Linked DNA regions of Rhinolophus ferrumequinum. The protein of the gene in region 1 interacts with the protein of each later gene in a pairwise test. Links are inferred from orthologs where the notes say so. Each region holds a gene or a part of one and is shown on either strand. Other genes may lie near its edges.

Evidence for each region.
Region 2: the proteins of keratin-associated protein 26-1 (region 1) and GDPD5 interact in a two-hybrid assay, tested with the Homo sapiens proteins (2 studies listed by BioGRID and IntAct). The two-hybrid records come from large-scale screens. The link is inferred for Rhinolophus ferrumequinum from reciprocal best matches to the Homo sapiens genes KRTAP26-1 and GDPD5.
Region 3: the proteins of keratin-associated protein 26-1 (region 1) and CCNJL interact in binary tests that used the Homo sapiens proteins (3 or more experiments, as listed by UniProt). The two-hybrid records come from large-scale screens. The link is inferred for Rhinolophus ferrumequinum from reciprocal best matches to the Homo sapiens genes KRTAP26-1 and CCNJL.

What each region holds. Positions count from the first base shown.
Region 1 is NC_046285.1:96,857,758-96,864,675, reverse strand, and holds keratin-associated protein 26-1, read left to right. Parts: upstream 1-5,133; coding exon 5,134-5,706; downstream 5,707-6,918. UniProt on the Homo sapiens protein: In the hair cortex, hair keratin intermediate filaments are embedded in an interfilamentous matrix, consisting of hair keratin-associated proteins (KRTAP), which are essential for the formation of a rigid and resistant hair shaft through their extensive disulfide bond cross-linking with abundant cysteine residues of hair keratins.
Region 2 is NC_046294.1:50,205,687-50,213,769, forward strand, and holds the start of GDPD5 (glycerophosphodiester phosphodiesterase domain-containing protein 5), read right to left. Parts: upstream 3,765-8,083; 5' UTR 2,959-3,764; intron 2,389-2,958; exon of another isoform or gene 2,214-2,388; intron 1-2,213. UniProt on the Homo sapiens protein: Glycerophosphodiester phosphodiesterase that promotes neurite formation and drives spinal motor neuron differentiation.
Region 3 is NC_046307.1:29,650,753-29,658,959, reverse strand, and holds the start of CCNJL (cyclin-J-like protein), read left to right. Parts: upstream 1-4,443; 5' UTR 4,444-4,537; coding exon 4,538-4,764; intron 4,765-5,133; coding exon 5,134-5,248; intron 5,249-8,207.

The DNA.
Region 1 (6,918 bases):
GGAAATTGAAAAAGACCTTGTAAAGGTGAAACAGACACAATTTGAGGGCTTAACTATAAATAATAGACGAGATACCGCCACCTCCACTGTCTATTATATAGGCAAGAAAGGATATGTTAATTAATACAAAACAGTTTCCTCACATCATCCATAGAAAGTTCTTGTGTATAAATGAAATGGGAATGAGGGGAGCAAAGTTTATTCAAATCTTGCACAAACCATATGTAGAAACATGTATAAAAATGTTATAATAGAGTAAAATTTTAGTTGAAAGTATATTACAGCCTGGCGGCCTTACCAGTTACTTCAAGCTCTACATTGCTGATCAGGTCAGGGAATTATTTAATTCTTCCAATGAATTATAATGATTTTACTCATAACATCCAACAGGGTGTGCTAAATTTAGGATGCGTCACTATGTTGAAGATTGCAATGGACTGACTCCAGATAATTGGCTGTCTTCTTTAAGACGAGCTAAGATAAATATTAATAAAGGATATTAGAATGGGCAGGAGAAAAATTTGACAAGGGGTTTTCAGTCCCTCTGAACCTCTTTCTATCTTTGTGTTCTTTTATATTTCATGAAAGTTGACTTTACCTGGTCAAAATGGATAGATGGTGGAAAAAGTATATAAAAGAGATTACTGACTTGGCTAAGTAAAGGTCAGTTTTTGTTTGATAAAGAAAACCTGTTATATTTTGTGAAAGCTATGATGTTAGTCAGCAAATATTTATTAAGAATCAACGAGGTTACCTCACATGTATTGAGAATAATGATCAGACCTATCGGAATAGGGATGTTATGAAGATTAAATCAGTTAATACGTATAAAACATGTAGTACTATGTTTGGTATATAATAAGGACTCAGTAAATAGTTGGTAATAAAGGTTTTATAATATAGTCAGGAAATAAGACACATACAGAAAGAATGTTTTGTTTGTAATGCAAAGGTGTGTGTGTGTGTGTGTTTGTGTGTGTTTGTGTGTGTGTGTGAATTAATAGTAATTATACAGATTTAAGTCTGGAAATATCTACGTTGGTAGAGGGTATTTATAAAGAAAGGGCTAATTAAGCTAAAGCCTACAAGATGGAAAAATTAAAGAATTGTTCCAGTTTTATATCCCACATATCAGTCAGATCATATGGTTCTCAACTTTTTCTGTCTAACTTATTTTACTTAGCATAACAATCTCAAGATCCATCTACATTGTCCCAAATTGCACTATTTCATGAACAAGACAATCAAAGAAACAAAAACTCATAGACAAAGACAATAGTTTAGTGGTTACCAGAGGGTAAGGTGGAAGAGGGGTGGCAGATGAGGGTAAAGGGGGTCAAATATATGGTGATGGAAGGAGCACTGACTCTGGGTGATGGACACACAATGTGATATATAGATGATGTATTACAGAATTGTACACTTGAAACCTGTGTAACTTTACTAACCATTGTCACTCCAATAAACTTTAATTTAAAAAAAAAAAAAAGAATTATTCCAAAGGAGACAAGGGTAAGATGAATGAAGAGATGTGAAATGAGCTAATTGGAGACATGAACAGAGAACCCAGCAAGACTGAAGATAATTTCTATTGGGAAGCAGAGGAGGATGAATCAAGTGTTTGGACAACTTTCTGTGGACAAAGGAGAGTCATCAGCATTTTTGAGTAAGAGAGCCATCTGATGAAATGAATTTTAGGAGCATTAACCTACATACGGTGTTTAGCCCACAGAGATGACAATAGCAATAGGTGTCAAGATGGCAGTGAGAAAGGCACGTGTTTACCAAAGGGGAACAGAACCCTACCTGAGTGATGGCGGTGAGAACAGAGCGGGGAAAAATGGATGACAAGACATATTAGTGGATCAAGTAAGAAAAGCATTACAAATAGATTTTCACTCCTTCCCATCTGTTGCAAGTTAATCACAGCACTCTCTTCTTGAAATCAGTTACTGGATCACCATGCTTAGAGAACAAAATCTTAACTACTGCCTTGATGATTGAATTAGATTCACCAGGTAAACCTAAGTTTCATTATTACAACTTACCTCTAAGAACATTTCACTAAAAGCACCGTGTAGTCATTTTTCCTGCCTTTACACGTTCTACCATAGTCTGAAGTGTCTTTCCTTTCCCCAACCCCCTGCTGTTTCCTACTAGCCTTCAAAATTAATACCAAATACCAATGTTTAGGCAAACCAATAAGCAATGTTTGCCATTCTCTGTACACCATTTATAGAATTTAGTGAACACTGACATGGATGGTGTATCTGTTTTAGCACATCTACAGAATTGGATGCATCTGGAAAAACACATTGATAGTGTCTTGGTATCATTGTCAGAATCTATCATAATGTTTTGCATAAATAAGGTTCTCAATAAATATTTGTTGACTGAATGAATGCAAGGTATGTCATTTATTGGCAAACTTTTATTGTTGCAATGCTCTGAGGATTCCTTGTGTCCAAGAGAGGAAGAAATTCAGGATTTTTCCTCTAGATTAGGAGAGGTAAGGATCCCTAGTTAACTGAAGTAAAAGCAACAAAGTGGATAAATCTGGAAGAGCCCACAGGATGCCCAGGTCCTCAGTCTATCTTTAGGCTCTTACATCAGAAGCAGAGCCTGGGACCTGTAGTTTATAGGAGACTGGTAATGAGGTACCTGCTGTGCTGCCCACGTGAGCTCTTCTTCCCCTTTAGTGATACAGTCACTATCGAAAGCATCAGTTCAACATTTGTTATATTAAGGGCACTGCATTTTCTAAAATTCTGTGGATATTTTTGCAGTGTTATCTACCCACAGTAGGAAAAAATAACTCTCATGGTGGTGCTGTAAAGGAATTAAACTGAGGTGGTACTCCTTGGAATGGGTGAAGGATGCCAAAGCGAGAAAATAAATTATGTAGGTACAGTATCTCACAGTTTACATTTAAGTTTTCCTTCCATCTAGATTTATTTTTTAAATGACACCACAAAGTAGTTATTAATACTCCCATGGTTCCATAAAATGATACTGATAGTGACTGGGGAATCAGAGCGATTGTGCAAATTGCTCTACTAGATGATGGTATCACTGTATGTCCATATGATGTCATACTGGATAATGGGAGAAAAACAACCTTTAGAGGGTGAAGGACCACCAAACAAAACCCCCTTTGTTTAAATGGTTTTTATTCATATCAATTATCGTAACTTTCTACATCTCAAGTTTTCTCATACAAATACTTGAAATAGTAAAATTTACTATAAAGAATGGTGCGAATAAAGTGATATTACAGATGTGGGTACCTACACTGCAAGGTGTTGCCCAGAGTAGACAATAAATGAATGCTAGTTTTATTCCACACCCATTCTCTTCATGCAGAAAAACCCATTTGTTTATGCATACAACATAAACACTACATACACACAAATATATTGATGTACTAAAGATGCAGGTGTTGGGCTCTTGATTATATTAGAGAAGAACGGGCATAAAGAGCATCAACACATAAATTTGGTAAGCATTCGGTTAAATATGGCTGCACCTATTACTGACACCATTCAGCGGCTGCATCCAGGATTTCACAAGATGCTAGCAATGTGTACAAAGGTACCAAGTGATGAAAACTGGAGGGATTGAGGGGATTCTTCAAGTGCTTGAGGTACAAATCATCACAGGGTAGTGTTCTCTGACTTAAAATACTGAGATAATCTCAATGTGTTAGTACAGGACCTATATAATTTTCATTTTCCTATTTCTGGTAGGAAAATAGTCCTATATTGGCTCATAGAGAAACCAACCTTGCATTTCAGAGATTCTACTCCTCCTGTACAGAGGGAGACCCAATAGGTGTGGGTGTATCCACTAAACATCAAAATATAACAAAGTGTTGTGACTTACATTGGATTTTAAAGGAAATTGGAAATTAGATAATAAAATTAGAAATTAGATAAACAGATAATGAAAATTCCCATTAATATAGTCACTGGAGCTGCTACATATGTTGGTATATGAACAAGGCAATGGAATGGTTGAGGCTAAACACAATCATGAATTTTTTAATCCAATTTTTACCAGAAAATATATACCCGAATAGCCGTCAAAGTGTTCATACTTAGACAAACTCTACATTTATTCTGATGTTATTACCCATGTAAAGCAGTTTAGAAGCTTCTCTCTGGAAACTGATATCAGGACCAATGTAAAAAACAAAACCAAATCCAAGTCCGTCTCTTAATCATTATGTCTCTCTCTCTCTTTTTTTTTTTTTTAATGAAAAACATTAGTTTTCAGTTGGGACACAAGTAACATGAATACATAATCCTATAATAGGTATAAAAAATGTAATTTTGTTCAATTGTCTTTAAGGGATTCTGTTGATTTGCTTTTGTTTACCATAGGATCCATAGATTTACCTGACCCCAGCTTGTTTATCTATACGTATTATGACAACTTTAAACATAAACCAGCTTTCAGCTTGACTCTTTATTTATTTATTGAGACGAATAAGAGGAGCATGACTTCTTTTAAATAAAGATATTTTGGTGGGAAGTCACTTTCTATCAGAATTCTAAAATAAAACAAAACACATCTGGACACATTGACATTTCCCATATTATACTACTTTCAAACTCTTTCTGCTCTAACCCACATTAGATATAGGATTTTTCACATTCTTTTACACATACTTCCTTTTAAGCTTCTTACTAGGATTCCTTCTCAAAGAGAAATAATTTGCCAGTGTTTCAAAGAAGTTTGCTACAACTTTTAAAGACATTTCCAAGAGAATAATTCTATGAATATTTATGCAGTGGGGCTTATAACAGGAATAAGTAAATGACCTCCAAAAGTGGCAATTTGGTTGGATAATTTGAGAGGGTGAGATCCTATTAAAATTCAGTCACACTGTGTTATTTACTTAATCAATGGAAGGCCTTGCAAGTAACCGCATTTTATAGGAGTTGAGAGCATCCACTTCCGGGTCATAATGAAGAGTTCTGATGCAGCCTCATGCAACTAGGAGGAAGAGAGTCTGTATACAGAAGCACCGTCTTCTGCAGATATATAAGGGATCAAGTCAGATGAGGAGCACAAAGAAACTTGAGACACATTTCTTTCCAATCAACCACAGCCTGCCCACAAAACCTCACTATGACTTGCCCCAACTCCTGCTCTGGAAACTACAACTTGGGATCCCTCAGAAATCCCTGTTATATTCCTCTCTCCTCTTCCAATGCCCTCTGCTCTACAAATGTGAGCCGTGAAGATGTCCTCTGCTTTCCCAGCAGGTATCAAGATGGTATCTGGCTCATGGACAATTGCCAAGAGACCTGCAGTGAACCAACCAGCTGCCAGTCACAAAACTGTGAGCCCAGCAACTGTGAAACTTCCTGCTGCTCTTCCACTGCTTACTATGGGCCCAGACCCTGCCAAGGAACGCGTTTTCTTCCTGCTGCTTCTTTCACCTCCAGCTCCTGCCTCCCAATATCCTGTCGACCTCTGAGCTCTATGTCCAACAGCTGTGGACCCCTGAGCCTCCTTACTTATGGATGCCGCCCCTTGGGGTGGATGCCCTGTGGTGCTCAGCCACTTAGTGTTGTGTCCAGCAGCCTCAGACCTCTGCATCCTCTCTTCAGTGGATGCCAACCTCTGACCCATGTGTTCAGCCCCTGTCGTCCATCTTGCTTTGCACTAGGAGGCCAGGAGCTTCCTTGTTCCAGCTAGCAATCGTGCTGAGGATCAAGGACAAAAATTCAATCTTTGGGGACTTCTGCTTCTTTCCTAGTAGTGAGTGACCGCCTTTTCATCTTTTCAGTGTGCCTGATCTAAGGCAAGCTGCCCCTTTCACGTTTTTCTCTCCCTTTTTTTTTCATTTTTCCTTGATGTGAAATTATTTGGTTTACGATGCTATTCATTGTCACTCAGGTGTGGGAAGAATTTATTTGGTTTGTGTTGTAATAAATGAGATTAAGCCAGAATTAAAAATCTGGGTCTTCAGTTTGTCTTTTATTATTCCATTTTAACACAGAAATGACCAACCTCAACTGCTTGCAAGATAAGTGAATAGGACATGGGCTACTGGACCACATATTCTTATCTGACAGTAGGGGAATAACTTTGATGGTTTATTCCTCAAGCTGCTTTCTAGATCTGTGATCCTATGTATTTGAGAGATCCAAAAGACCTTGGTTGAAGTTATTTTGAAAAGGCAAGATTAGGAATGCTGTCTTTATCTTTCTTCCAGTGAACAGCTACCAAAACGGCCTAATTGTCAATGGAGCTATATTTTACTCCTGCTTAAACCTTTGGTGGCTTCCTGTGAGCTACTTCCAGAAAATAAAAATATAAAGTCCTTACAATGACATCTGGTTTTCCTCGTTGTTTTTCTCCCTCCCACCTCTCTGGCTTCATCCCTTTCTCAATATTGCAAATGCTAAGCTTTTGCAATCCTGCCTTACACATAGGTCACAAACATGCTGCTTTTTATAAGCATCCACCTTTTGCCTATGTCATCATCAAGACCGGAATGCACTTCTGATTTATCTATTTTGAAAAATCACACTCACTTTTAAAAACACAGTCCAACTTAATTTACTAAACTGTTGATTTATTTAGCAAAAATGTTATTACCTACCTACTATGTCCCAAACCACCCTGTACCAGGCACAAAAGATACAGAAGTGAACAAGACAAACCTGAACTATCTCAGTATTTACCAGAAGTCATAAACTTCTTATAGACTTCTGACACTGAAGCTAAATGCCAGTCCCTCTCATCATCATGTTTATGCTGCTGTTTTAAAATCCATTCTAGTTCATTCTTTTACCTTAGCTGCCTGGCTCTCCTACATATTTTGAGTTTGCTACATCTGCACCCTTTATTTTTTGAAGACTTTCCCAGGCCCTCTCCTTTTTCCTTACCCTAATGAATAAATCA
Region 2 (8,083 bases), on another chromosome or scaffold:
GTCAGGTATCTCACAGTGTATAATCTCACAGTGAGTACGTGACACAGCCAGGATTCAACCTTTGAACTGATGTCTACAGCAAGTTGCCTCTAGCCCCAGCCAGACACCTTCCTCCTTGATGAAGCCTTCCAGGCTTACTCCAGTCCTCGAGGGCCTCGCCCTGCCACTTCTCATTACCTGTTTGGACTCAAGAGACCCTCACTCAGCTAGCTTGGTTTCCACTCTTTCCTGTGGGTCCACCGGGCCCTCCAACAGGAGGGAGCCAGGGTTAACAATAGGTCACTTTCTTCCCATCCTGCCTCCCTCTCCCCATATCCAAGACTTCTTATGGCACTAACTGGAACTATCCACCTCCTCGGGGTGGGAGGGTGAGGAAGAGGGTTCAGAAACTCGGCTGGGCACAGAGCAATTTCCTTGAGCCTGCCTCCCAGCAATGAGGGGACCCATAAATTATTCACTGCACCTTTGTGCCTAAGGGAGATCAGACAATGAGCCAGAGGGAATGAACACCAGTGCCCCCCAACCCTGGCCCTGGGGTGGGAGGTCACAATCCAGATTCTTTACCAGGGTCCCCGAGCAGATTCTAGAGGGCTATGAGACCAGGAAAGTGGCACAGGGGAGCCTGACACACAGGAGTCCCATCTGAGCAAGCCTAGGTCTGTGCGCCGGCAACAGTAGCCTGCATTCTAAGGCAAGTCTGAGAATTTTCCCATATTTTCTGGTAAAAATTTAAGTTTCTTTTCCTTATAGGGAAAGAAATAGATATTTGGCCAAGCACTGTATATTTATATCCCACTTCATCTTCACAACAACCTCATAAAGGAGGAATTCTAATGTATAGACAAGAAGCTGGGGCTCTGATGAGTGATTTGGCCAATGTCACATGGCCAGTGGGAGGCAGAGCGGATTTCTGCCCACCTGGTCTGTCTCACTACTATCTGCCCGTGCCACTTAGCCCACCCAATTAATTGTGAGCTAGTCACCACACTGCCTTCTCCATCTGGGTAACTTCCAGGGCACCTGGTATGCCGGTGGCGCTCAGTTCCTGAAGCAAACTCAAAGGCCCTGGGTAAGCGGTTTCACTTCTCTGAGCCTCAGTTTCCCACACAAGGTAGTCATGAATAACAAGCCCAGTCTTGGCAAACACAAAAACTCTTTAGCACTTGACAGTGTGCTCGATACGATGGCCCCATTATCTAAACAGATAACACACAGCCCACAGCCTGCCTTGACCCCATTTTACAGGTGAGGCTGGGAGCCATGAATGCATCTGAGAGGTCCCAAGTGGCTCCCCAATAATGTTATGCCACACTCCAGGTTCCTTCCATCACACCATGAAATGAGATCACAGGTGTGAAATTATCTCATCAAAGAAGAGCTTTGTTTAGAGGCAGGAATTATTAGGAGAATTTGAATCCCCATGGATTACATGGGGAGGGGGAATCCCAAGCCCCTCAGTCACCTTCTCTTGAGGTTCCTCGACCTCTCCACCCACAAGGACTGAGTTTCCAGCCTTCAGCTGACCTCTCCAGCGTCCTCCACCTCCCAGGTGCTTTCCAAGGTGGTTTCCCCTAGACTCCAGGAAGCTGGGCACAGCAGGGGTTAACTAGTCCCAGCCAAGGCCACAGAGCTCAGACCTGGGCCATGTCTCCTCCCCCTTCCAATCCAGAACAAGAGCCTACAGAGTCCAGGCCAAGCCCTCTTTCACAACACCCCTCTCCCTGCACTGCCCCAGGGGGGGTAGCAAAAGGAGCCCCTGCCTGGGAATCCAGACACCTGGGACTGTACACCCCCACCCCCGGCCCTGGCAGCCCCAGCATTGATACCCAAAGCAAGCCCTCCCCTCCTAGGCCAGCAGCGTCTTGCAGGTTCCTCTGCCAGGAGAGGCTAAGGTCAGACCTTTAGTCTGGGCCAAAGGCTATGGGGTTGCTGGCATGTCTTGGGCCCCAGCACCAACCACACAGACTCTCACAACAGCCTCATACGTAGTCACCCTGACCTCACATCAGGGCTGGGGAAAACCTCAGCCACCCACCCAGAAGTTGCTAACTGAAGAGGTGGAATGGATACCTTGAAGGATGTCTTTTCAAGTGTACCTGTGGCTCAACCCCTCACTCACTGCTTTAGGACCTTGGACAATTGGCACCCCGATACCCACCCCACCCTTAGTAACGTGAAAAAATGTGAGCTGGATGAGCGCTGAGGGGACTCACCTCGTCCATCTCGTCCAACTTGGGGACTTCTACAGCGAGGTTCCCCAACAGATAAACAGCGTCTTAGGACCTCCAGAGGGCCGTAGAGACCCTGGAGTATGGCAGGCAAGGGCCAGGGGCCGCTGTTCACTGGTCCTGGGCCCACAGGAGGGGAACTGTGGAAGTAGGAAGCTTCCCACCTCTGCCCTCAACTCTGGGTCACCTTTCCTGGGATGTGACATGGCCATGGAGTTGGGGGGGAGGAGACCCGGAGAAGCCACCTCCTTCCAGCCTCAGGATCAGTTCTAGGATGCCCCAGGGGCCCCATCTTTACACCTTCCCCCACCTCCTGCCTAGAGGCTATCCACTTCCTTTCTTTTACTCTTCAATTTCTGCTTCTTTCCCTCTCCACTCACACCCTCCTCACAGTCTCATCCCCAGAGTGAAAAGAGCAGGGTCACTCAACCCCGTTGAGCCTCAGTTTCCCCATCTGTAAGAGCCCATAAATATACAGGACACCTTCTATCCCACCGAGTTCTTAGTGAGCCTTAATGAAGGGACCACTCAGGCAAGGGTGGGGCGCGGACCCGCACACAATGGGCGCTCGATAAGTGCCCGTTTTCTCCCTTCCCGCCTCCCTTTCCCGCGCCCCCTCCTAGCCAGTTCCAGCCTCAGCTAGTGCCTGGCATACCCCCGCCGCCGGCCCGGGCGCTGCCCGGATGGGGTCAGAGGCCCCTCCTAGCCCCGGCATCCGGGGCTCTCTCACCTGCAGCTCTCGGCTCCCGCCGGCCGCCGGGGCAGAGGGGCCCCTGGGTCCTCTTCGGGGCAAGCGCCAAGCCCTTCGCCTAGGAAGGCAAGTGGTAGTAGCTTCGACTCTCAGCACCAGCCGGGTCCGGCTCCGTCCGACTGTCCAGCCCGCCTGGGACCCCTCACGGGGCGCTGAACCCGGGCCGGGGCTTCCCGGTAGCTCACAACGTCCCAAGTCCGAAGCAGCACCGGGTCGGAAGCAGCTAAAAGTCCTGGTCTAGGGGAGACAGAGGCTGGGGGCGTCCGGGCTCCTTTGCACTCAGTCGGGGGCTTGGGGACACCCTGCGTTAAGCCCGGGCGGAGAGCTGGGGACTCCGACACACACTATAGAAAGGCTGTGAAGAAGCCCGCAGCCATGGACCCGTAGGGTGGGCCAGGAGCGTCTCGCCCAGGTGCACTGGATCAGGGTCGGGGGCTACGGGGGGCCCGGCCACGACACGCCGGACTGCAGGGCTGAGAGCGTCCCAGCGCGGAATCCAGGGCCGGGGCAGGCGGGGTAGGTCAGGACGCCTGCGAGGAGCAGCGGCCGCCAGCGCCGGGCGGGGAAGTCTTCCCAGGTCCAGACTCGGCTCGCTCTGAAAAATCGGGGGGACCTCCGTGCGGCAGCCGACTCTGGAGCTCCGCACCGCAGCTCCACTTCCTCCTCTTCCCCCGGCTCGCACGCCGCTCGCTCAGCCTCGCGCCGCAGCTGCCGCCACCCCCGCCGCTGTCAACGCGGTCGCCCACCCCCGCAGGAGCTGCGGCCCCAGCCGAGCAGAGCTGAGGCAGCGCCGCCCAGCGCCTGAGCGCAAGCCGGCGCCGCCCCGCCCGAACTGGGCGGAGTCAGCCCGAAACCCCGCCCCTTTCCCGGACCACGAATCCTTTCCTCGGCCCAGCAGGAGCCAATGGGGGAGAGAGTGGGAAAAGAACGGAGCTCTGCGGAAAGTGGACTCTACCTCGTGAGGGCGGAGCCGATAGTGGAGAGGTGCGGCTGGAGCGGGGACCACGCAGGGGGGTGGGGGACTTTAAAGAGAGGAGCTGGAGGGAGGGTAACGTGGGGACCCGGATGGAAGGAGAGGTGAAGAGGACCGGATTGTCTGGGACCTGAGCCCGGGGACTGCCTTGTGTGGGAGAGGGGGAGTCATGGGATAGGTACTGGGGTCGGGGGAGGGAGAGAAGCTGGATAGAGGCGAGCTGGGTTATCCAGGGTAGTGGAATCAACAGGGAGAGTGGAGCCCTCGGGACACAGCTCTCACAGTAGTCGTCTACCTCCCCAACTTCTAGGGCTCAATGCGAGGAGGTGAGCTTTGCATGCTGCGAAATATTCAGATTTCAGGAAGCGGTGAAAAATTAAGTTTTTGAAAATAAAGAGCAGATCTTTCTTAAAACATTTTTCTGCGGGGAGGAGAGTCGTTATCAGTTTTAAAAATATGAAGTCAAGAGCAGAGGTGCGTGAGTGACCTTTATGCCCTCTGCTGCCCCTCCCCTCCAGCCTTAGGGCTGGAGCTGTGTCTGATTTACATCTCCCGAGGCTCCAGCACCCTGTACAGGGCGAGGCACAGAGCAGGCATGGAGGGTTTTGATGTATGAAAGAGTGAATGTTGAATGTGCTTCTGGGGCCATGTGAAAGCCACTAAATGGCCTGGGGAGCAAAGGGATGGAGGCCACCCAATACAGCTTTTCTGTAAGCCTCACACCAACCTTATGCAGTAGATACCCCCATTCAACTGCTGGGGACATCAAAGCACTTGAGAGGCAAAGCGATGTTCCTAAGACCATAAAGCTGGCACGAGAGTCTATCCGCTCATCATTACCGCATTCTGGAGCAAAGCTGTGTGGCTTTGAACAGGTTACTGGACCTCTCTGAGCCTCTGGTTCCTCATCTGTAAGGGCAATAGAAATACTGCTACTTATCAGGGGCTGGGCAGGCACCAGGCTTCAGAGAACGGAGGGAAGGCTTATTCCTGGCAGAGGAAACAGCACATGCAAAGGCATGGAATCTGAAAGAACGCCTCTGGGGACCCCTAGCCTATTTTGGGGAGATTGGAAGAGGCTTCCTTGAGGGAGTGACAGGCAGGCTCGGAAGTAGGGGTTGGCTAGGTTAGGAGAGAACCTAAGTGAATGGACAGTGGTCTGGGCAAAGGCTAGTCTGGAGAAAACCCTGGAGGTGAGGGAGAGCATTACTTCGTTGGAGAACCCAGAGGAGTTCAGGGTGGCTGGAGCTCCCAGAGAAGGAACAGCAGAACTGATGGGAAGAGAAAAGTGTGAAGAGGCAAGTGGAGGCAAACAAAAGGGAGTTCAGACTATTCTAAGGGCCAGCAACTCTGTTAGCGGCCTGCTCATGACCCTGAACCCAGCAGGGATATGGGGAGGACTCAGTCTTGAAGGCCAACTCATTGGCTGCCAGAGGGGGTGTCCTGGGAAGTTTTTAAGTCAGGTATTGCGATGGGAAAGACAGAGCTTTGTAGGGAAACCAGGTAGTGTGATAACACTTAAAGCCCGCAATAGGCAAATGGCGTGGGGCCTGCATGAGGAAGGGTTGGAATCCTCAGTGATGCCTGGACCCAGGGCTCTGTCCTATCCCCTCTTAAGAGTGCAACAGCCTTCAAGTTGGTTGGAAGAATAAGGAAGGGGCTGAGCTGGAGGCTGAAGTCCAGGCTGGAGGGGTGCCCTCTCCTAGCCAAGCCCAGGGGTGGGGGGTGGGGAGGTTGGCCCCAGGAAGCTCCCACTGGTGCCTGCGGCCTCAGGGCTGGTAGAAGGCTATTTTGCCTATAAGTTGAGCTTGGTAATGGTGCTACGAAACCTTATGATTTCTCTGTTTAGAACCTTCTGTGCCTCCCAGTTGCCAGCAGGATCAAATCCTAAGTGTCTGGCCTGGGGTTGCAGCCCCTCCATTATTGCTCTCTGCCAACCCAACGAGCTTCGTCTCCCAGTTGCTTCCCTCTCCCCTGGCACCAGACGTCTTTCTGTGCCATCCACAGGCAGGATGCAGTCTCTTCTATGTTGTTGTTCCTGCTGTTCCCTTTGTCTGAGGGACTGTGTTCCCTTTCTCTCCTGAGTCAATTCCTGGTTCGCTCTGGACTGAAGGGAAGAAACTTTGGGGCAAATGCCCATCTGTCCTCTTCACTGCTATGTCCTTGGAGCCTAATACATAGTATGTGCTCAGTAATTAATTGTTGAATGAATAGCTCCGTCTCTCAAATCAAGTGTCTCTTCCTTTGAGAAACCTTCCTGCACTTCCCCAGGAAGTCTGCCTTTGGTGTGGAATCTCTCAGCTTGAAGACTCTGTAATTACGTCTTTCATGTCTAGTTGGCCCCATGGGCAGGGAGCCCCTCCGCGTCAGTGCACCCCCACCCACTCCCCCAGCAGAGTGGCAGCAGTCCCTTGTCAGACCTCAGCACTGAGAGATGAATGAGGCTCTCAGAAAGCGGTTCTCTGCTGCCCCTGCTGCGAGAGCCTCCTGAGCAGGTCAGATGAGCAGAAGGCCAGAATGAAAAGGAGGCTTTCAGAACAGACCCTCCATGACCCCTGAGGCCCAGGGTCCCCTGGAGGTGACGGGCAAACAGTTCTCAGCCGCCCACATTTGCCCTCTGGCTACCTTCCCAGGGGGAGGAAGTCTCCTGACCTGGGAGAATCCGGCCTTTTTGCGGCTGAGAGGCCCACGAAGCAGTGTGACAGAGGCATGGTCATGGTGGCTTGTCTGGGAGGGTGACTGAGGGCTCAGAGGCGGCTCTAAAGCTGGGCCTCTGGGGCAGATAGAAAAGGCTAGCCTTGTCAGCCCGGTGCCCCCCCTGACCCCCCCCCTTATATTCTTCTGACCAGAGTGGGGATTAACTGTGAAGCGACTGCAGCTTCAGGTCTGTTGCACAGCTTGCTATGCTCATCACAACTGAACATTCGCTTTTGTGCCTACATTTATATTAGGAATTTGGTATCCTCTTCCTTAACAGAGCCACCAAATTATATAAGACCTCACACCCCGTGAGATCTACTTCCAACAAATCCTTACCATGCACCCACGATGCGGGCACTGCGCTGGGTGCTGGCAAGGATACCATGGAGCATCAAGCAGACGCGCGCCCTGCCCTCCTGCAGCTCACCGTCTGCTGGGGTCGGCAGCTCAGCTGAAATCATGGCCCTCACAGTATGGCCTGCTTTCCTACCTGTCTGCGTCTGCCAGCCTGGAATCCTTTCCCCAGCTCTCCTGCCTGCATGGGCCCCACTCGGCCACTGGACTTTTCTTCATCCTTCAAGGGCTAGTACACAAGTTGACCACGGTGGGAAGCCAGCCTGACTGCCCGGTGGGAAGCATTCTCCATCCATCGGAGCCAGTGACACTGCAGGCTCTTTGTGCTTCCCTGGGGACACTGATCCCCTTGGATCACAGGTTGCTTGTGGGTCAGTTGTCCCACCAGAATATAAGCTTGTAGAGGGCAGGGTATGGAGTCTCGTGTCTCTTTGTGCCCTCAGGTCATCCTGCATTTACCAATGATTCAATGTCCTGGACCAAACTTTGGGCATCTGGGGGTGGGACAATTAAGGAGCCCCAAGTGCCAAGGCTTTCTGCCGTGGAGTGTGCAGAGCGCCATGTGAACACAGAAGACAGCAGGGGGTGGGCAGAGCGGGGTCCAGGGTGGCTTCCCAGGGAAGGGGACACTTGACTGGCTCTCTAAGAATAAGCACAATTTGTCGGGATAAGGAGAGAACAGTCTTCTAGGCAGAGGGAACATTGAGCACAAAAGCATGAAAGTGGGAACAGGCAAGTGATAGGTGAGAAGTCGGTATGTTTGGGGGAACAGGAATGACACAGGAAGGAAGAAACTGAAGTCACACAATGGAGCAGTTAGGGCACAGACTGGACCCATATGGCTCGGGTTCACCTCCTGGCTCTGCCATTACTAACTCATTGCTCTGTGCCTCAGTCTCCTCACCTGTAAAGTTGGGACAATACTAGTACTTACTTCATAAGCTATAAGAATTAAAGGAGCGTATCTCTATGAAAGCCTACGGTAGTGTTGGTATACGGTCAGCCCCACGGTGTGTCTGATAATTAAGTTGGAGCAGGAGGGGCAGGCTGAGGCTCTGTTGGGTGGAGTTTTGAATT
Region 3 (8,207 bases), on another chromosome or scaffold:
GGTAAATGCAGAGGTCACTTCTGCAAGGAAATACAAGTGCTGGTTATCCCGGGGGAGGAGAGCAAGGCCTGGGACCGAGGGTGAGAACGTGTACATTTCACCGCATATATTTGTCATGTGAGCGCTTGTATCATATGAAGAAAAGAGAGAAAGGAGAGTTAAAGTGAGCAGTTGAAAATATTAGATTGATTTGTCCTCTGAGGAAGATTGGAAAGGTCAGGAAAATTTTTTTTCTCTCATTTTACACTTGAAAATATTGTACCTATGTAGGATGGTCTTGCTTTAAATTTTTGGTTTCCATCCTGTGAGTTTCAGACATTGAGGGTGGAAGAGTGGTAATTAACTCATAGCAAGCACTTGATAAAGGTTTAGTTTTTGACTGAATGAATGAACAAATGAACAAATGAATACTTCCTGGTTTGGTTGGGGATGGAGTGGGAGAATTAACTCCAGTCACATCGTTCCCCTGCTGTCCACCAGACGAAACCTGCCCTGCTAAGGACACCATTTCTACCTGTGGACAGAGACTCACCACCAAAAACATCAGCACAATGTATTTTTATTCTTCAGAGATACTGGGAAAAGGAGAGACTCCTGAGAATGACACACAAAGGACAGCAGATGACGAATGATGTTTAGAATCCTTTGAAAATAGCCCCTAGTAAAAAGCCCCAAGTTTCTGCCTCCCTTTCTCACCTACCAGAACTCCTGATAACTGAGAACTAAAGTTTAGGAAAAGAGGACTCCAAATCAATGAATAGGAAAGGCCTTTCTTCTTTTAGTGTACCCTGTATAGAAAGATTATTGAGGAAAAAAAACAATATAGCAATGGAAAAAACAAAAACAACAATACTGCGAGTTGTGTGATTCAAAGGAATCTAGTTAAGTATATCATGTGATTATTTTAAAGTAACATTCACTGTTTTTTTTCTGATTATGAAAGTAATACATGTTTCTTGCAGAAAAATTAGAAAATACAGATATACTAGAATATAAAGTAAAATAACATTTCCTTCAATCCTACCATTCTGATTACACAGTTAATAGTTTTATGTATATTCTTCAGTTTTGTGTGTGTGTGTGTGTGTGTGTGTGTGTGTGTGTGAATGTAGTATAATTGGAATCATACTCTAATCTCCTTTTTCATTTAATATATTGTGAAGATTTTTCCAAGTCATTATTCATTCTCTCAAAAAATGTTTTTTAAGAGTCAAATTATTATTTAACCAGTCCCTGTTCTAATAGTTCACTATAATAAAAAAGCAGTATGATGAAACCTCCTGTAAATAAATCTTTGTACTCATCTGCTCAATTTTTTAGAATAAATTTTCAGAAATGGAATAGTTGGAGCAAATGATACATTTTTCAATTTTCTGCATATTGCTTTTCAGAAAGATGCTATTTATATTCCCAGCAACACTGTATATTTGTCAGCACTGCATATGATGTTTATAGAAATCCTTAACAAATATGTACCCCACTCTTTCTAAAAAAAATTAATGTCTTTGCTAGTGAATATGAACATTTAAAAATATTTATCTCTTTGAATTTTTTCTTTCATGGTGTGCCTGTTCATCCATTTCTGCATTTTGGTTGTTAGTGTTTTATGTATTGATTTATAAGAGGTCTATATAGTTGACCAATCTTTGTCACATTTGTTAAAAACATGTTCTTCAATTTGTCATTTGCCTTTTTGCTGATATTTGATATGTCTAAGTCTTGCATATTTATTCAAATATATATATTCATCTTTGCCTTTTGTTTCTTTGTATGTCTTAATAACTGGTCCTTCTCCTTTGAAATAATTCACTTATATTTTCTTTTTTTTTAATTAAAAAAATTCTTTTATTGGGGAACAGTGTGTTTTTCCAGGACCCATCAGCTCCCGGTCAAGTCGTTGTTTTCAATCTTGTTGTGGAGGGCACAGCTCACTGGCCTGTGTGGGAATCGAACTGGCGACCTTGGTGTTATGAGCACTGCGCTCCAACCGCTGAGCCAACCTGCCGACCCTCACCTATATTTTCTTTTAACTGTCTTTTAATTTTTTGTTTGTTTAGTTCTTTGAGTTTGATAAAGTTAATTCATATACAGTAGTCCCCCTTATCCACCGAGGATGCGTTCTAAGACCCCCAGTGGATGCCTGACACCACGAATAGTAGCAAACCCTATATATACTATGTTTTCTCCTATACATACATACCTGTGATAAAGTTTAACTTATAAATTAGGCACAGTGAGAGATTAACAACAATAGCTAACAATAAAACAGAATAATTATAACATATTGTAATAAGTTATGTGAATGTGATCTCTCTCAAAATAGCTTATTATACTGTACATACAAGATGGCTACACTGGACAAAGGGATGATTCCCATCCCGGGAGGGATGGAGCAGGATGGCGTGAGACAGCGTAAGATTTCATCACATTACTCAGACCAGCGTACAATTAAAACTTATGAATTATTTCTGGAATTTTTTATTTAATAGTTTTAGATTGCCTGTTACTGAAACTGTGAAAAGTGAAACAGCGGATAAAGGGGAACTACTGTACTGGGATCCACAAAATGGAGGCAGCTCCAGGGGCCCCACCCCAGTCACAAATCTAAACTTACCGTGCTTACCCGAAAATAAGACCTAACCAGAAAATAAGCCCTAACATGATTTTTCAGGATGACATCCCCTGAACATAAGCCCTAATGCGTCTTTTGGAGCAAACATTAATATAAAGACCCGGTCTTATTTTCGGGGAAACACAGTAAGTCAGCCTGCACTTACGGAAAACACCTGTCATGGAGACCTAACATACACCAATCACAGTCCTCCACTTCACCTTTAGCTAGCTTTCTTTACCCTAGAAAATAGGACCTGCTAGCCTTATAAGGAAATCCCAATCTCGTAGGCAATCATGCCCTGTTTCTGTGTTGCCTCTTAATATTCCATAAAACTTGCTCTTACCCAAAATCCCTCAGGGAGAGTGCTCCACTGCTTGTAAGGCACTGTTCTCCCTAATACATGGGCTGTCTTCCCTTGAATAAAGGACAGTAACGTCATTACTAAATTGTTTGAGTTTTGACATTTGACAACTTGTTATATTTATTTTAGTGATGGTTTAAATAGATGGTTTTTATGTTTTCCCCCCAAATTAATTTCCCCAGCCTTATTGAAGAATTTATCCTTTTCCTCACAAAAGTGAAAAGATAAATGTATCATATGGTTAATTTTTAAGTATGTTGTATGTGTTTCTAAGTTTTCAACTATTCCACTGATGCACAGTCAGTGCATCAACACCACTTTTTTAATGATAGCTTTGTAATATGTTTTAAGATTTGGTAACATAGGTCTACCCGTCCATTAAAAAAAAATCTTAGCTTTTCTTACTCTTCCATTTGAGTGTTAGAACAAGTTATGTCATTTCTCCCTCACTCCCAGCTACCTACAAAAATTAGATTTTAATTAAAAGAGTTAATTTGGGTGAAGTTGGTATTTTCACCTTCTATTTCTTCAAGCCTTTCTTGTTTTAACCTCTATAATTTCTTAAGAGCACTTTTTAGTAAGTTTATTCCTAGGTACACTTTTACAAGAGTTCATAATTTTGTCATTATTATTAAAACTGCTCTTTAAGCTCCAATTGAAGTTTATCAAAGCTGACTTTAAAATTTTTTCCAGGTGGGTATTAGCTTGCAGGAAACCAGTCAGAAACTAAAGGCTCTTTAGTAGCAGCTATTTATTGAGTGTAGTTGGCATGGCGATTATCCCTTTACACGAATTATCTTATTTAGCGATAGATATCTCCAACAGGTTGGTGCAATTTTTATTCCCATTTTACACATGAGGGTTCCCAGGCTGAGAGAGTCTGAGGAACTTGGCAAATACCACCCAGTTGGTAGGTGGATTTGAAACAGGTCTGTGAATCTCCAAAAGTATCACAAAAAACAATCAGCCGATGCTGTGCCATCAGATGAGCTGATTCAAGGGAGAACCTTTCCGAAAACAATCAACTGAATTAAACAGACAATGCTTTCCACCCGCAAGTCCCTCCCAAAAGATTAGTTTTCCTCCAATGTACGGCATAGATCTGTACTTTGCAGGAGAACAATAAATACCACTTGATTTACTGAGCGTCCTTGAGAATTAGGGATTCCTGGACAATCAAGAGTGGCTTTTCTGGAGCTTTCGTGGGAATTGCCCGTATCTGCCTCCCCATCGCAGAACAGGTTCAAAAAAACCCAAACAAAAACAAAACAGGTGGAACCTACGTAACGCTGACAAGAGCAGCGCACGCAGGAGACAGAACTTTCTGGCGCATCCTGCCCGCGCGTTTCACGCGTGGTGCGCGCAGGTGGCGCCGCGGTCCCTGCGCTCCCCGCGTAAGCCCGTGGGGTGCCCAGGAGGCCACCCCGAGTCTCTGCCAAGGTGAGGGGAAGCTTTCCACCAAGGCGGGGGAGGAGGGCGGGCAGGAAACAGAGCCAGCGCAGGCGAAAGAAAGACTCCAATTCCCAGCCCCCCGCCCCGCGGGGTACGGGAGCTGGCAGCGCATGCGCGAGGCCCGGCCCCCAATTCCCTTAGCGAGGGAGGGAGGCCCCCGGCGGCCCAGAGACTGCGAGCCGCTGCGGGACCCGAGCGCACGCAGGGGCGCGGCGGCGCCGGGACGAGCGGGGCTGCGGAGGCGGCCGTCGAGAGCGTGGAGCGCCGGGCGCGAGGCCGCCGGCTCAGCTCTGGGAGGGGCTTGGCGCCCGCAGCCCCCCACGCCGGAGAGGGATGCGTGAGTTTCGCCCCGGCCCCGGGGCAGGATGTGGGAGCAGGACAAAGGCTGGGCGGCGGGGGAGGAGTTGGGGACGGCGAGCCGGTGGCCGCTGCCGGAGCCCCAGCCTCGGGCGGGCTAGCGGAGTCGGCAACTTTCTCTGCAACTTTTGCAAAAGGGAAGACAATTCTGCAAGTGATTGCACAGCTCCAGGTCGCCCCAGGTCCCACGAACAGAGGGGAGGGGACAGCGCAGCCTTCCCGGGATGGGCGGCGACCCCCAGCTCTGCTGAGGTGGTCAGGAGGGGGGCTCCCGGCCGGGGCGAATAGGAATGCCGGAGGTTACAGCCCGGGTGCCCTGCGTCCGCTGAGGTAGCTCGTGTCCACGCAGGGTGCGCCCTGAGAGCCCGGTAGCCTCGGATCGTGGCGCTGCATACGCGACGATGGATGAGCCGTGGTGGGAAGGGCGCGTCGCTTCGGACGTCCACTGCACCCTGCGCGAGAAGGTCAGTCCCTCCCCGCCCATGTCGCTCGCACGACTGGGTATTTAAAGCCCCTTTTGCTCTCGACTCGGTTTGCTCAGGTCACCCCGCGGGCGCACTAGGAGCTCCCGGTGCCTTTCTTTCCTCCTCCCTGAGCCCCTTCCCGGAGAGTCCGGGTGAGAAACGAGATTGTAGAGCTTAAGTTGGTTTTTCTGATTAGGAACCCAGAGTTTCCGACCAGCTAAACCGGGAGAGCCGCTGTACTCTTGAAGGCGGTATTCCCCACAGTATTTTCACCCAAGATCATTTTAAATGGTACATGAATGGACTTAAAAAATACTTTAATGTGCAAGTTAAAAACGTATGTAGCAGGTTCCCCATAGGGTAAGTGATGCTGATTTTCCGTTTATTGTAACGATGTAGTAGTTCCTTTTAAAATAAAGTAAAAGTAGTGACTCAATATTAGGAAATATTAAGTAAATGACAGTATAAGGTATAATAACATAGTTCTGCTCTCCCAATATCTCTCGGATGGGACTGAATAAAATGTAAGAAACACTAATCTAAATGAGAGGCTATAAATCTAGGAGGAGGTGAAGAGAAAACAAACACTCCCTGCCAGTTTGCCTCCGGTGGCAGAAGGTGGGGGCAGCTGAAATGTGATCCCTGCACTCCCTTCGCCTCAAAGAGAGAAGTGCTGATGGGCATTGAGAAGGTGGAAAAGGCCAGGTGGGCTGGAGGCATGGCCTGTGTGTCTTGCCTCCTGCTCCTGGGATGAGATGGGGAGGGGTGGTTTGGGGAACAGGTGTGAAATAGAGTGTATTAGATCCCTAGGGCTGCCATGAGAAAGTTCCACAAATGGGGGCACTTAAAACAATAGAAATGTGTTCTCTCCCAGTTCTGGAGGCCAGAAATCTGAAAACAAGGTTTCAGCCAGGCCATTCTAATCCTCAGCGTTCCTTGGCTTGTAGACTTCACTGCAATGTCTGACTGTTGTCACATGGCATTCTAGCTGTATGTGTGTGTGTCTGTTTTCTCTCCTTATAAGGACACCAGTCATTGGAATAGGGTCTACTTTAATCTCATATGACCTTATCTTAATTTAACGAATTACTGTACATCTGAAAAGACCCGATTTCCAGATATGTCCATTTGACACAATCTAGGTTCCAGGTAGACATGAATTTGGGAGGACGCTATTCAACCCAGTACAGGGAGAGTGAGGTTTTTTTAGTGGGGTAGCTAAAAAACAGGTCCCACAGCCAGTGCATTTGTACCCAATATCTATGGAATTCTGTTTAAAAAGTCGATAGCTATACAAAGTTTTTTCCTCATTTGGAAGTAGCTGTCTTCCAGTCACAATTAAGTTTTTTTTTCTCTTTTTTCCTGTACCTACTAGTCCATCTCTGTCTTGTGTTGCTTGTCCAGGCTGTAACTTTCCTTTGCTTCCCTGGGTCTTCTCCCTGGAGCAGAATGGCCAAGGTGCAGCACATTCTGGCCATCTGGAGAAGAAATCCAGGTCTTAGTGTTTGAGTAAAGTGGGATGGTAGACCAGGCAGTTCAGGCCTGGTCCTTTTCTGGAGGTGGGGGCTAAATGAATTAGTGAGGGCTGCCATGGAAATTGGGCTTCCTTGTTTATCATGGGCTCCAGTGGTTGTCAGTTCTGCTCATAGTGTGGGAGGAACGACTTTGACCTCATTTGCCCCTTTCTAGCAGGAAGGATTTCTGAGAACAGTGTAAATTCAACCAGCTCCGTTCCCTGAGAATCCCCAATCTCTTATAAATAAGTGAGCGTGTTCTAATCTCTCCTCTAGCCACTCAAGGAACAGGGCAAGCAGGTCCCCATTAATTGTCTTCACCCATGTCATAGAGCCAGATTGTTCACTACAAGGCTGCCTACCTTGAGGGAGAATGGGTTTATCCAGGTTTTACAGGTTAGAAGTAGAAAACTCACTCGGGTGAATGCTCCGGCTTACCTGTGACTTGAAGCTGGACTTATAGGGTAAATCCTGGGTTATTTTGGTTATAATGTCTCACCTCCCCAGCATATTAACTATCTTTCTTCTTTGTTTCTTCTCTCTGTTCAAAGAAGATGCTTCTCAAGAAAATTTGACTTAATGGAGAGTTTGCAGAGAAAAGTGAAGACTAGCGAGAACCCAGTATCCGCACTGTTCTCATCTTTCTTAAGGAATGAGGGCTGGCCCTTTATTTTTCCCAGACAAGTAATTTTTTTTTTTTTATTAAACATCTCTAATAATATATTCCTAACACTGTAGAACACTTTACAAGTGTCTGGCACACAGTAGATACTATGTGGTGAATGTTGCCAGATGAATAGAAAGCAAGTTACTATATATATGCTGTTGAATTGTCACATAACCACGGGCAGTTATCCTTACTTGACTGATAATGCAAGAAGCCGGGCTGGGGTCCTGGAGATAGTGGGAACCCCACTTTGTCAGATGTGATATTCCAGTATAACATGATACTACAGTATGTAAAATGGGACACCATGGAAATGAACCTTGGTATTAAATGCAAACTAGTAATGGCCGTAAAACCCTGAGCTGCTTATTTAACCTCTTGAAACCTGGCCTCCATCATCCATTCTTCCACAATAGTCAGAACGTAGCATGTGTCACTTCCCTGCTTAAAGACCTTCAGTGTCATCCCATTGCACTTAGAATAACATTCCCAGTCCTTACCACCACTTGTACTACCTGACACAATCGAGCCCTGGCCTGACAGCCCTGGCCTGTTCTCCTGCCTTGTCTCTTACCCGCTTCCAGACGGACCCCCTTTTTCTTCCTTGAGTAAGTCAAGCTCATTTGTGTCTCAGGGTCTTTGCACTGGCTATATTTGTTGTCTGTTTTTCTCTATTGCTGTTCCTCTGTGTCAGTCTATCAAATCCTCCTGCCTTGTTTTTCTCTATAGCATTTACTAGCATTGGGAATTATTTCCTTTGATTATCTTTTCCTCCATA